2 linked regions of the Notamacropus eugenii genome follow. The protein of the gene in region 1 purifies or fractionates together with the protein of each later gene. This does not show direct contact. Links are inferred from orthologs where the notes say so. Each region holds a gene or a part of one and is shown on either strand. Other genes may lie near its edges.

Region 1 (7,753 bases):
TGGGCAAGTCACGTGATCCTGCTTATCTGAGTTTCCTCATCTGTTAAATGATCTGGAGAAGGAAAGGACAAACAATTCCAGTATCTCTGCCAAGAAAACCCCAAATGGGGTCACAAAGAGTGAGAAAATTGAAAAATGATTCAACAACTACGTGCTTAAACTAGATAAAATGAGACACTTTGTGGACATTATTTTACTTAACAAAGTTATTTTCTGAAATTTACAATTTACTTATAAATGTGGAAGTACTGTAAAAGTAATGTTATAAAGATTAAAGTTCACATCATCAAAACAACTTAACATTATAGTAGTTTATATTATAAAATACCATGTAGAAAAGTTTGATTACATAAAACTTAAAAGTTTCTGCAGAACAAGACCAATGCAGAGAAGATGAGAAGAAAAAGTTAACTAGGAGAATTCTTTTTGCAGGCACTTTCTCTGAAAAAAGTCATTATCAAGATACATAAGGAACCGATTCAAATTTATAAATGAGTCATTCCCCACCCAACATAGAGTCAAAACATACAAATAGGTCCTTCAAAGAAAGAAATCCAAGCCATCAATAGCAATGTAAAAAATACTGCAAATTGCCAATAGAGAAACGTAAATTAGAGCAACTCTGAGGTTCCATCTTATACCTATCAAATTGGCAAAATTGACAAAAAAAGAAAAATCACAAATATTGGAGGGGTTGCAGGGAAAATAGAAACACATTAATGGGTGGATCTGGGAAACGGTCCAGCCATTCAGAAAAGCACTATGGAACAATGCACAAAAAGTGACTAAATTGTATGTACTCGTTGACCCAACAATATCATTACTAAACCTGTACCCCAAAGAGATCAATGAAAGAAGAGGGCAAAAATGTATAAAAAGGTTTTGTAATAGCTCTTTCTGTAGGGGCAAAGAAGTGAAAACCAAGGACTACCAGCAATCGGTTAATGGTGAACTAACTGTGGAATATGGATGTGATGGAATGCTACTGTGCCATAAGAAATGAGGAGAAGACTTGTATGAACTGATGCAGTGAAGCGAGCAGAACCAGGAAGACAGTTATACAATGACAACAACCCCATAAATAAAGCCAAACCACTTGGAAAGACTTAAGAACTCTGACCAAGGAAGGCACCAACCACAATTCCGGAGGACCAAAGCTCTTTACCTCCTCAAGTCTCATGATGCCAAATGGGTCACATAAATTTTGGACAGGGCCAAAGGAAGGATGTTTATTTTTCTTGACTATGTATATTTGTCACAAAGGTTCCATTTTGCTTTGCTTTTTTTTAAATTTCCAATGCGAAATGAGAGAAAATTTGACTTAAAAAATGAAATTAATTTAATGTTTAAAAAGTATCTTAACAAAGTGGCTTCTTCATTTTGTATCACCACATATAAAGCACAGGGGAATGATGAAGGGGTAAATCAGTAAAGGCATCTTTATCGGAGAAGGCATGTGAGCTGAGTCTTCAAGGAAGCTAGGCATTCTAAAAAGCTGAAGGTTAGGAAAGAATGCATTTCAGTCATTGGAGACAGCCTGCGGAAAGGCACAGAGGTGAGAGATGAAAAGTTAAATTCAGAGAATACCAAGAAAGTCAGTTTGGCTGTAACAGAGAGGAAAGGGGGAATGTAAAATGTCTGGAAAGACGGTAGACAGTGATCAGGAGGTAAAAATGGAGCCCAAAGTTAGGACATATCTGTATGACACGACTTTGCTCTCTTAGATATTAAAATATCAAAATAAAAAGGGGAAAATGACACATCTCTTAGAATTTAAATCCATTTAAAAAACTTCCTACTAACCCTCATTTCCATACATGTGGCGCTTTTGCATGACTCCTAAGAAGAGCTGGGGGCCTTTGGTTTAAAAGCCAGTGCTCCATCACGGGAAGCACAAACCCCACGAATGTCCGGACCATTTTAATGCACACAAGGCTAAGGGCACTTTCGGGATCGGAAGGCAGGAGAAGCTGGGAATTCAGTTCGGCCAAGACCCTGCTTCCATTAGCAGTCTTACCGAAATGAGCTCTCCCAAAGCCTGGGCGGGGGCCGGATACGCACCTCGGGGGGCTCGGTCCAGTTACGAGTGGACTGGCGTCTGCATCAGGAAAAGCACCTCGGCCATGGGGATTCGCGGGCGTCCCGGTACTCGGCAGAAGAGGCCATGAAGACTGCGCCCTCCTCCTCCTCCTCCTCCCCCTCCTCCGCCGCCGCCGCCGCCGCCGCTGCTCACCTCTAGAGGGGCTCCTCCCTCCAGGCCGGGGCCGGGGCACCTCGAGGAGGCCAGCGTGGGGGGAGCCTGCGCGCCGGCTGCTGGGGTGGCTGCGGCCCCCGCCGTCCCTGCCCTGGGGAGAAACGAGCCACTCAGCCTCCCGGGGTCCCCCCCACCCCGTCCTCGCCCCGGGGACCCCAGCGTCGCTTCCGAGGCCCAGTAACGACAATAACGGCGATACCTGCAGGAGCGGCTCCGCTGGGGGGGAGGGAGGCGGGCGCCCGGCCCGGCCTCCCTCGGCTCCGGGCCCGGCCTCCCCCGGGCCCGGCCTCCCTCGGCTCCGGCTTCCCCCGGCTCCGGAGCTTAGCCACGCCGGGAGGCCGAGGCCGCTCCTCCCCGTGCCCGCGGGCCGGCCCTGGCCCCGGCCCCGGCGCCGCCGCGGGGCCTCCTCCCCCGGACCGCCCGCCCGCCCGCCCCTCAGCCGGGCCTTTCAGGCTCCGCGGCGGAGACACACACTCCCAGGGAGAAACCCGCGGCGGGCGGAGGGAGGAAGGGAAGGGGGTGGGGAACAGCGGGAGGAAGCGGGGGAGGCATCCCCCAGCCCCCGGCCCTCCTTCGTTCCTGGAAAGGCCGCGAGGCTGCGGAAGAGGTCGGAAGGAAGAAAGACTAGTTTCCCCGGAGCAACAACAGCAGCCTTGACCGGTGTTTACCTTCCCCCTGGTCCAGCGCCAGCGCCGCCATCTTTCTTTCTAACGCCGGGCACCGCGCGTGCGTCACTTCCGCCGCCGCCGCCGCCGCCACCTGCGGCCCGAAGCCCGAAGCTGACCAGGCTCGGGAGTCACCGGACCCTGAGCGGAAGGGCCTGGGGTGGCGCCGGCCCACGCTCTCATCCCGTCATCGAGTCCCCGCCTGCGATTGCCCCTTATGGCAAATGGGCCTGTCGTAAAGGAATGACCGCCACCCGAGCCCCGGGGCGCACCCCTCTCCGGGGGGCACCCCTCTCCGGGGGGCACCGGGGGCGTCCCAGCCCGGGCAGCGTCCTTAAGGGCTTCCGCGATGGCTTTAAAACTGGCAAGCGTTTGTTTCTTTGGGATGCTACCACGCTCTGCGCGTATGCGCAGGACCCTTGGCTCCTGTGCCAGGGGGCAGAGATGTTTGTCCTTCCACCCTGGGCAGCCCCCCCGGGTACCGAAGAGGCTACAGCAACGGGCATCACCGGACGGGAGGGTGTGGGGAAGGCGGTGGGAGGATGGGCGCAGTTGTGTTCTGAGAGTGATTCCCCCTGCACTAAATGACGTCATTTTTATCAGGCAACTTGCGCTGAAGTGTTGCGTCACATTTCCACTCGGCTTCGAGCACCGCAGTTACCTGCTCAGCGCTGTACCTCTCCCAGTGGGGGGTAATTTATAGAAAATGGCACACGGGCACCATTGAGCAATCTAAAAACACTGCTCTATTTCTATCTGCGCCGAAAGAAAATAGAAGAAAATTTCAGATTATCTTGAGTAGGCAAGTCACATTCAATATTTATTTACATACCAACACCCAGATTCTAATTAGAGCTGTTAAAAAACGTCGATTTTTCTTGGCCTCCGTTTTTTTTCCTGAAATATAAAAGTACCATTTATAAACTGTTTTATAAATCTACTAATATTAGTTTTCTTCTAGAAAAAGTGAAGGAAAGGACAGGGAGAAAATACTTGGGAGGTCAGCATTCCTACTCCAAAAGCACATTAAATTAAGAGATTTATTATTATCAAATAGAGAGGATAAATGCCATTATAGTTTTTGGTTTTTCACTTCTCAGATAAGTTTAGAGTATAAACAAACATCCAGGTAAAATGAAATCATATGAAAAATTTTGAAAGACCCTCATAAGACTTTTCTCTAGGAAGATAGCAAACAACAATTTTCAGCAGACCAAAAGAACATACGTATACATTTTGCAGAAACAGACCACATGAAAATAAATAAGGAAGGGATAGCCATATCACACTGAAAAAACCCAGAGACTTTTAAAAGTATGAGGAAGGAACTACCTGTGAAGCACATAGAATCTAAATTTTAAGGTCACAGTATGTAGTCTAACACCTTCATTTTAGAAATAAGGAAATACCTCTGCTCAGTGCTTTCATTTGTTACTGGGACTTTTCTGGTTAACACTTCTGTATTAGGCGTGTGAACAGAACACAGCCTGGAGTCAGGAAGATTTGAGTTCAAATAATGGCCTCAAACTAGCTATGTGACCCTGGGCAAGTCACTTAACGCTGTTTGCCTCCATTTCCTCCTCTGTAAAATGAGTTGCAGAAGGAAATGGCAAGGCAATCCAGGATCTTTACCAAGAAAATGCCAAATGGGGTCACAGTCAGACATAACCAAAGAAGACTGAAACATGCATAACAAAATTCAGTAAATTCCCATGGCTCCCTATCACTTCCAGGATCAAATATAAAATCCTTTCTTTGGCATTCAAAGCCTTTACTTTCCCAGGCTTTTTACATCTTACTCTCCACGGTGATCCAGTGATACCAGCAACCTTGCTGTTGCTCAAAAAAGATACTCTACCTCCTGTAAAACAACTGCACAACTACGTTAGGTGTTTTAACTGAGGAGCTCTGACCCCTTGAAAGTGTGTATGCCCACAAAGCTTTCTCTGGGCGTCTGAGACAATAGAGAAATAGATATGAGATGGAAGTGATTTAGGTCACAGACTGTGTGTGCTTTCATAAATAGCTTTCAGGGAATCATAAAATCATAAAATCTCTTTGGATTGTTACTATCAGCAAAAAATATCAGACCAAAAACCTATGGTGCATCACAACTACTCAGTGCTGATGGAGCCACATTGATTAGTGAAAAGGACATGATCCTAGAGACAAGGGCTGAACACTTCTGTAGTATTCTCACCAGATCATCATCAATTAATGCTGAGGTCACTGACTGTTTACCTCAGGTTGAAGTCAATCCCTCCTTACCTATACTTCCAACTGAAGAAGAGGTTTGGAGGGCCATTAGGCTCCTTTTATTTGGCAAAGCACATGACCATTGCTCACACAAAAGCTGACTGAAATATTCCAAGTTATATGGCAAGAGGAAGTTATCCCCCCAGGAGTTCAAAGATGCCTCCATTGTCCATCTCTATAAAGGTAAAGGGAATAGATTGTCTTGAAGGTGATCACATAGTGGTCAGAAGAAGTGATATAAAGACTCTCTCAAGGTCTCGAACTTTGGATTTGATTGTGCGACATGGGAGACAGGACCACTCAGCATGGCATGCCCACATCAGAAAAAGGTGCTGTGCTCTATGAGCAAAGCAGAATTGAAACAGCACAAAGGAAATGTAGGATGCACAAATTTGGAATAACCACCCCAAATGTTCACACAGACTTTCTGTGCCCAATCTGTGGCAGAGCATTCCGAGCTTGAATTGGTCTGATCAGCCACGGTCGTACATAATGAAACTTCATTTTATCATGTGGTCCTCTCTGAGAACAAAGGACAACCACCACACTATGTGCAAATTTGAGAAGCAAGAACAGAGAGGGGACTTTAGAAGATGGAGCTGAGGGAAAGGCATTTTGTTTGTCTTCTTACCAGATTGCTTAGAAATAAACTATGTAATGTTGGTCAACCATTTGCTGTGCCAAGCCTTTCCCTGGAAGCTGCTAGTGTCAGTACAGCAAAAACCATTTAGAGTCCTGCTCTAGCCAGCATCATAGTGAGTGAGAATGGGAGGATTCAGCTGAGTCCTTCAGTGCTTAGCTGTGGGGACTTCTTGAGTGGATGATCCAAATATGACACACACCCCAACACATACTCCTACAGTAGAATTAAGGAGGTCTAAATCTAAGTCTCTAAACTAAGTCTCTTAAATGCCTGAGTTTTCTTTGAGTACAGTCTAAATTTAAGGATCTGAACTGCATTCCTTGAATTCCTGAATTTGAGGACATACCTACAAACAGCACTGCTTTGGGTTAGCTAGACTTGAGATGAGCTATGAGCCTTCAGCCTTCACAGTGGTTGTTCTTCATGTATTTAGTATTTCTTTTTTTCCATATACGAAAAGAACATATACTTCCTTGCGTGACTGACTCTATTATGCTCTGTGTGTGTGTTAGAAGTCCATAAAAATATCACTGAAAGGATCAGCCTAGAGTTTTCTGAGGGGAAGGAGCACCATGAGTCATAAGAGTCTAAATGGATGAATCTAAAAAATCTGTACTACCTGTACATGTCTATAATCAAAAAAAGGTATAGGGCAGGATTATGCCCAAAAATGTTCAACAACTGGATCTCTGGGAGGAAATGTACATGTGATGCATTTTAAAGTTTAATCTGCATTATTAACATTTTCTCCATCATTTTCTTAAGTCTAGAGACTCTAGACAATCAACAAAACAATAATTAAAGTCCTGAGATGTAACATTTGCCTATTTCCAAGGCATAATGCCCACAATGAAAATTTAATCATCAGTTTGCCCTAGCCTGTTTGAGCTAGTTCCAACACATTCCTGAGCTAAGATACAGAAGTAACTAATGCTCTGAGAACTGCAGAGAACTTGGCATTACCCCCACACCACCCTCTGGCATTGCTGGGAGTACTCAACTGTTGAAGTGAGCATGGGACTGTTAGCATTTAACTTACCAACAAATAAGGTCAGGCATTTGGAGATGATATTCCCTGGTAGGCGTGTATAGGGCATTCAGAGAGAACTAGTACTTCTGGTGTGAGGACTTGCTGAGCCTTTTCCAGGGCTGCTCATATACCTTTGGTATCCCCCTGTTACCGACTTCTTACTTGTAGCTGCAAGAAACATGCTTGGTGGTCAGACCCTGGTAAAATTGTCTTGGCAGATAGGCTAAACCAAGTTAAGGGTAACAGAGGGGGATGTCTGCTGTAAGTATGTGAAAACTTCCATCAGAATAGGCAGATGAGAACAATTTGTTCCAGTGGGACATGAAATTGGCAGAAGTAGGTGCTATGGAGTTTTTAGAGTTTGGCCAGGCATCAAAGACAGCAAGGTCATCCACTGCATCCTGAGCCATTCCTGGTCATCTTGATTTCTGTCTCGCAACTGAGTTTCAATCACTCTGGAAGAGAGAGCAAGGTTGACACATATTTGTGCAACTCTGCCTCACTTAAATCCAATTCCCATGGAAGTCAAGATACCACCCTCACGATGTCATCGGTCCTCTTCCAGAACTAGAATGAAGGATGAACAACACCACTGGGAAGAGATGTACCTTGACCCCAACATCATGATGTCATTCGCCTCACCCAGTAAAAAATGAGGAACAAGAACCCCCCCTGGTGGTTAGAGTTAAAAACTTAAAAATACAATGGGTTTATTTTCAAATGATATTATTTAATATCATGATAATGATAGCTAACATTTATAAAGTAACTGACATTCTTTATTCTGCTAACCCTGCTGCTATCAACGAACAGCAGTAATAATGGGTTCCCCTTTCTATAGAGCTTTAACATTTACAACTTGGTTTTCCTCACAACCCTGTAAGTAAAAACTGAAAATATTATTA
Region 2 (7,127 bases), on another chromosome or scaffold:
ACAATTTAGCTGTCACCACCATAAAGGAATAGAGAACATGGAATATAATATTCCAGAAGGCAAAAGCTATATGGGCTTTATAGTCAAGAAAAACTTACCAGCAAAACTGAATGCAATATTATGGGAGAAAAAAAAACCAGATTCTTAAAGAAACAGACAACTTTCAAACATTCCTGATTAAAAAGGGAAAGGAAGGTTAGGGAAAATTACCTTACTTTATCAGGATGAATGTAGAGGGGTTGGAGGGGGGGGAACAGAGAGACATTTGAACCTTCCTTTCATTCAAAATAGTCAAAAGAAGGGAGAATACACATACTCAGATGAAGACAGAAATACCTTTCATTCAACAGGGAAATAGGAGGGAACAGGGATTAGGGAAAAGGAGTCTTAGAGGAAAGGTTAAGTCAAGGGAGGGATTAGTTTTAAACAAAACAAACTCTAAAGATATAAAAAAATAGCTTTTTTTGAGGTGGCAAGGAATGGCAACTTGACAGGGTGCCCATAAATTGAATAATAGATGAACAAAATATAGTATATAAATGGAATAGAATACTATTGTGCTAAACTCTTTATCTGCATAATGACCAACCAGGGTTCCAGAAAATTAATATGCTATCTACCTCCTGAGAGGTAAAGTACTAAGACAAATTTTTTTTGGACAAGACCCGTTTGGAATTTTGCTTTGATTGACCATACAAGTTTGTAATGGCTTTTGTTTTTCTTATGTTCAAGTAGGGGATTGGGTTACAAAGGTGAAAAGACAGATCTTGGATGATTAAAACAAACAAAATATATCTTTAAAAGCAAAAGAAAAACAATTCTGCCTCACACATTTGCGAGCTGTATGTTCACACCCAGGCAAGTCACTTAACATCTCTGAACTTATTCTCTCATCTTTAAAATGGAAATAATAACAGTATCTATTTCATAGGGCTGTCATGAGGAGAAAATTAAATAACATGTAAAGCATCATATAAATGTGATCTATATCATCATCATCATCATCACTATTATTTGTACAGAACTATTAGATGAAATTTCTGGTCATAGGAAAGGTTAGAAAAGACACAATGCTGGCCCTCAAATAATTCACAGTTCATGATGGTACAATGGAAAAGCACTTGATTTCAAGTTAAAGGACCTAAGTTCAAATCCCACCTCTGATATTTACATCTGTGTCACCTTGGCCAAGTCACTTAATCTCTCTGGGCCTCAATTTTCTCATCTGTAAATGAAGGGGTTGCACTGGATGTCCTCTAAGGTCCCTTCCAGCTTTAAATTTATAATCCTAGTAGAGGCATAAGACACCAATTTACTAATATAGGAAATTTCTTCCTACCTCAGATACAGATTAATATTTTTACTTCTGGATTTAAATAGACACCTTGAAATTCATCAAACTTTGAACAAAAAATTGCGCCCATTCCACAACCTGACAGCCTATGATCCTGCTTCCTTCCCTTCAACCTCTTGGTCAATTATTCCATTTTAACATAGCTCTAGTTCTATTGAGGTTATTTATGTTTTCCTCTCAGGAAAGTGGAGTTCTCTAAGTGATGCTCCCAAGCCTCCAGTGGTGTCCAGGCCACCATAAAAATAGGTAATATTTATATTCCTCTTTGAAGATTTATAAAGCCAAAGTTTTACATACATTACCTAGAAGCCTCAAAATATCCCTGAGATAGATGCTACTTTTATTCCCTGTTTTACAGCTGAGGAAACGTTACCTTATTGGAACCTCAAAATATTGCCAGAGTTGATGCTATTTTTTATTCCCCGTTTTACGGATGAGGAAACTAAAATCCAGAGAGAAACTATCTTGTCCAAGATCACAGTAAAGAGTGTTAGTATGAAAAGAGCTGGATTTGGAGCGATATGACCTGGGTTCAAATGGCAGGTCTTCACTACCACTGCTTAACTGTAGGTAAACTACTTCAGTTCTTTTCCCAGATTTTCCCATGGGTAAAACGAGTGGGGTAGCACTAAGAAAACCTCTAGGATTCCTTCCAACTGTAGGAGCGGTGTGAAGGCAGGAATGAAAACCCAACTCTTCCAGATTGATTCCAAGTCCTCAGGCCCCCTCAGCAAGAGCCCCGTCACGCCCTTTCAAAGAAGGCAGCTCAGCAGGGGGCCTCGGATAGACCGGAGAGACCCAGGGGACTGAAATCCCCCCAAACAGACTCCCAGAGCGTCCGAGCTGGGAGAGGTCTTAGAGGTCACTTTACAGAAAAGGAAGCTGCGGGCCAGAGAGGGGAAGCGGCCAACAGAGGGTGACCGAGCTCCGGGCTCTCCTCGCTCCCTCCCTTCCATATCCCGGGCACCGGGGCAGAGGTGGCGGCGAAAGGGCGGCTCCCCCCCCCACACCCCCGGTGACAAAGGGACGCAGCCCTCGGGTGGGGTCGCGCCGAGCCGCCCCGCCCCGCCGTGCCCCCCCCACCCCCGGTTACCTGCAGCACCATGGCTTGGGCCGCCCCGGGGGGGAAGCCCATGCGGTCAGCCGAGTGGCGCAGCAAGCGGTAGAAGTCCGTCTTGCGGTAAAGGAAACCGAACAACACCCGCAGAAAGTCCTGGACGTTGCCCACGTGCTGCAGGATGCCCAGCAGCGCCTGGTCGTACAGCTCCGCCGCCCCGGGCTCCATGGCGACCGGCCCGGTCGGCCCCGAGGCGGGAGGGACACTGACACTCGGGGACAGGGGGTGCAGCGGCCTGCCGCGGCCTGGGTCTCAGCGTCAGCCGCCGCCTCTGCCTCTGACCGGCGGCTTCCGCTGTATGTGAGCGTGTGAGTGTGTGTGTATGTGTTTGTGTGTTTGTGTGTATGTGTGTAAGCGTGGGCACCGTCAACGGCTCCACCACCCAGCCGCCGAGACCGAGGGACTTCCGGTCTGCCCTGCTTGCCTCCGGAGACAACGTCCCTCCCCCGGCGCCGAGGCCGCCGCCGCCGTCGGGATTTCCGGCGTGGGTGCCCTGGCTAAACAGGCTCGACGCAGCAGGGGAACCAAAAGAGGGCCCAGACCAGAAAGTCGGGGGTTGGCGAGCACGTGACACCCAACGACCCTGTGGGAAGAGGGCAAAGGAAGTTTTCTACGCCTCCCCCCTCCACGTGACGTACGCGCGTCACTGAGAAAACATCGCCACCTCCCACTGCGCGCGCGTGGGTTCCGAGCGTCACGTGACTCCGAGTTTCGGGCTCCTTTCTGTTTGAAGTTTGTTTCTCCGGACTGAATCGTGCTTAGCCTCGGTCCGCTCGGCGTCCTGAGAACCGGGGTGACCTCGGGCCTGGAACCAGACGCCCCGAGGGCTGCAGCTGGTGTGGAAGTTAAATGGTTTCGGTTTCAGCCCCCCTGTTGTGCACGCCAGGAAAAGGAGGCTAGGGAGATTCCGAGGTCGCGGAGCACCGCTGGATCCCGACCCCGATCCCGACCCCGATCCCGACCCCGATCCCGACCCCGATCCCGACCCCGGGTGTTGTCAAGAGCGGTGCTTGCCTTGCGGCCCTAGGAGTGCCCCACATCCCCTGCCAACCCTCCCAGTCATGCTGCCTGCGCACCGAGCATTGCCCTCTGGGCTCGCTGCGCCGGGCTGGTTTTGCTAAACTGATTTTTTTTCTTCTCTTTATAATTTTTCAAATGAGATAACACCTAGAGCGCTCCGGAAGCCCTGTAAACTTTACAGCTATTTATTTAATGTTATATTTATAGTATAACTACCTTTTTTTCCCTCTGTTGGGGAGAACATAAGATTTTGAAGGTAATGTAAAGGTAAAAGTTATTTTTAAAAGTTAAAGAAATTTTAAAAACTGAAAACCTTTTGCTTTAAGAGAAAGTTGGAAAGCTTTAAAAATTTTTATTGGGCTGATAAAAGGGGTGTGTTTTATGCGGTCCCCAATTTGCCCTAGTCAGGCCAAGTCTGAAGTGCTAAGTTCAGTCTGGGGCATATTTGGGTGATATGAGTAAGCTAAGTGGATAGAGCTGTGGGCAGGAAAATCGGAGTTCAAATCCAGCCTCAGACACTTACTAGCTGTAGGACATGGAGGAAGTCACTTAATCCAGTTTGCCCCTCGGTTTATCATTTGTGAAGTGACCTGAAGAAATAAATGCCAAACCCACTCCAGTATCTTTGCCAAGAAAACACCAAATGGCATCATGGAGAGTTGGACCCAGCCAAAACAAAACAACAATAAAAAGCTGAAGGAAGACCAGAAAAGTGAAAGGATCTTAAAATAACAAGATTTAAATCTGAAAGGGACCTTAGAAGCTTATCTAAACAGCCTCTCATTTTACATTTATAAGAAACTGAGGTCCAGAGAGTTTTAAGTGGGAGACCCAAGATTAACAACTGACAGGATTCAAACCCAGGTCCTTTAATTCTAAATCCAGCACTTTTTTGTGCCAATAGATTGTGTAACGGGAAGATCAGTTGATGAAACTGGAACAGCAACCTATGGGGCCACTGTCGACTTATTGAAAACCACATATTAGCCAGGAGCATTTGGAGGGGAAAGGTACCATAGTGAAATGGCACCAAGATGTCTTGGAAAAAAAAAAAAACATTTTGATCCACCAAAAATCCCTAAACTCAAGATGCTCAAAGATCAGCAGTATGTGGTGAGACCAATGGCCCCATTCAACATAAGACTTATGTAGTGAGTATATTTATGAAGGCAAGAAATTTAATGCCTGGAAGAAGACAGTACAGAATAAGCTATATCTGCAATTTTTCACTTCCACATCAAATGTACCTATTGTCTAGCTGAAATTACCTTCAAAACAGACCCAGAGAATACAAATTATATCATGGAGCCACATGAAATTTCTAGGCTGAGAAACTCCTGAAAGTTAAAGAAAAAAGGTTATAGAAGGAAAGAGAAGATGAAGAATTAAATAATTCCATGAAGGGGCTGGAGAACCAGATCAAGGACTCCAAGCTGGAGACGGAGACACTGGAAAATCTGCAGGAGCTGACAGTGTTTACCCAGTGCTAGGCTAATGTGGACTTTGAAGCAATATCACAGCAGTACCAAGTGTCTGAGAAGGAGAAACTCCAGTGAGATCAGGAGAAAGCCCAAATGGAAATGGAAAGAAGAAGCCAGGAAATGGTGACTGATCTAAGACACTGATTGATGAAGAGCTCACCCTTGCACCTACCCAGCTGCCCATTCAAGCCAACCCCACAGCCTTCTTAGAAGTCTCATAGCTAAAAAAGCAGAAGTTGGAGAGCTGGGAGCAGAGTGTGGGGGCACTTGGCAGCAAGTCAGAGCTGGCAGACCTGGTTGTGGCAAAGAGGCAGCTGCCCCAAGACCCAGTAGCAATAGTGGGCATGTGGTCTCGCTGTCTCATAGCACAGGTGTACAGCAGAGTTTTAAGGAGGCTAATGTTACCCAGGATATCCATTGTTTCAACCCTGAGCCACTTGGGGGCATACTCAAACAAGTGAAGACAGCAGCAACAGCAGCAACAGCAGCTGAAGCAAGGGAAACCTCAGACTGCTCCCCAATGGAGCCAGGTTGGAGTTGTTCGGTAGGCACAGCCATGTGAAGAAGAGAATTAGGCTGGAAGCAGTGCTGCCAGAGATTCTATCTAGTGAGCTTAGTGTGCTTTCCCCACTTCTTAGCTGCTCAGCAGCTGACTGCTCCATTCCTCTCCAAGCCCCTAAGCCCCAGGAGGATTCAGTGTGGTGGTACTCTTCCTCTGAATCTTTCCACTTTAGATAATGACAGGTGAAGATCTGACATCTGTTCCTGGCCTAGTAGACCTCCTAATAGCAGGGGTGGACCTATAGAAGATATTAGGCCTCAACCCTGCTTCCTTCAAACCCCTGCCCCTCATGCTCATCAAGCCCAGGCAATCAGAGCAGAATCCGTGGGGAAGCAGGGAATTACTTCTTACATTCCCTGGAACTTAAGAGCTTTTCCAGAATTCATTTATCTCTGTCACTGGTATTTCTTTCATGACAATCCATACAGACTGATATTTTTCATCAGTGCTCAGTGCTAACAGCATGTGTGGTGGGTTTGCCTTCGCCCTAACCCCATTTCAAGTAGCTAGGTGGTTTAGTGGATAGAACACTGGACATGCAGTCAAGAAAGCCTAAGTTCAAATCTGCTCTCAGACACTTATTAGCCATGTGAGCCTGGGCAAGTCACTTAAATCTATTTGCTTCAGCTTCTTCATCTATAAAATAAGCTAGAGAAGAAAATGACAAACCACTCCAAGATCTTTACCAAGAAAACCCCAATTGGAGTCACTAAGAGTGAGACATGGCTGAATATGTGTCAGGTACTGTGCTAAGCACTGGAGATACAAAGCTCCTCAAGGAATTTGCAATCCAGTAAAGGAAAGTAAGACTCAAAAGGAAACTAAGAAAGGGAAAGGAGGAGAAGAAATAACCAACATGGTGGCTTAGTGGAAAAAGGCAGGGAAGTCCCAAGGTAGAGCACCCAGGTAAGAAGTGAGTTTTCTAAACTGAAGTCTCCTTAAATGGAGATTGCAAGTTCATGGCCTCATCCTTCAATCAGTCATATAGAAGAAGGTTTAGATTTGTGCTTGGCCTTTCACCTGGAATCTATCAACTAGGTTTGTTTGTTTTTTAATCCTTCAGTTTCAATATAATTGGTTTCCTTTGTAATTCATTTTATTTTATGCATTTAAAAACATTATTCCAAGAAGAGTTTCTGAGAATAAATTTTACCAGAGCCCCAGTGGGGTAAGTGATACACAAATAGCTTAAGAACTCCTGCCCTAGAAAAGATAATTAGAAAAAAGGGGTGGAATTGCAGAAAAAAAAAAGACAAAAAAACACATATTTCTCCTCATTTAAAGAGGAACTTCCCAATACTCCCCCGCTAGATTGTAAACTCCTTTAGAATAGAGATTGCCTTTTTTGTATTGGAATCCCTATTACTTAACACAGTGCCTAGCACCTAGAAAGCACTTAATAAATGTCAATTGACTATGGCAAAAACTAGACCCTTTCTTCTCGTTCAGCCATCTCATATTGTAGATGGTGAAACTGAGACCAGAGGTGAAGAGACTTGCCCAAGATCACACAAGTAGTTAAGTGGCAGAGCTAGAATCAAACTTAGATCTTTTCATTCCAAATCTAATGCTTTTCCCCACTGCGTTTCACTC

What was found. The genes of interacting proteins can lie anywhere in the genome.
Region 2: the proteins of KLHL15 (region 1) and NUDCD3 purify together in Homo sapiens (co-immunoprecipitation; 3 studies listed by BioGRID and IntAct, with this or other methods). This does not show direct contact. The link is inferred for Notamacropus eugenii from reciprocal best matches to the Homo sapiens genes KLHL15 and NUDCD3.

What each region holds. Positions count from the first base shown.
Region 1 is NC_092876.1:452,963,391-452,971,143, reverse strand, and holds the start of KLHL15 (kelch-like protein 15), read right to left. Parts: upstream 3,010-7,753; 5' UTR 2,923-3,009; intron 2,542-2,922; exon of another isoform or gene 2,454-2,541; intron 2,339-2,453; exon of another isoform or gene 2,234-2,338; intron 2,192-2,233; exon of another isoform or gene 2,018-2,191; intron 1-2,017. UniProt on the Homo sapiens protein: Substrate-specific adapter for CUL3 E3 ubiquitin-protein ligase complex.
Region 2 is NC_092872.1:522,770,456-522,777,582, forward strand, and holds the start of NUDCD3 (nudC domain-containing protein 3), read right to left. Parts: upstream 3,012-7,127; 5' UTR 2,640-3,011; coding exon 2,448-2,639; intron 1-2,447.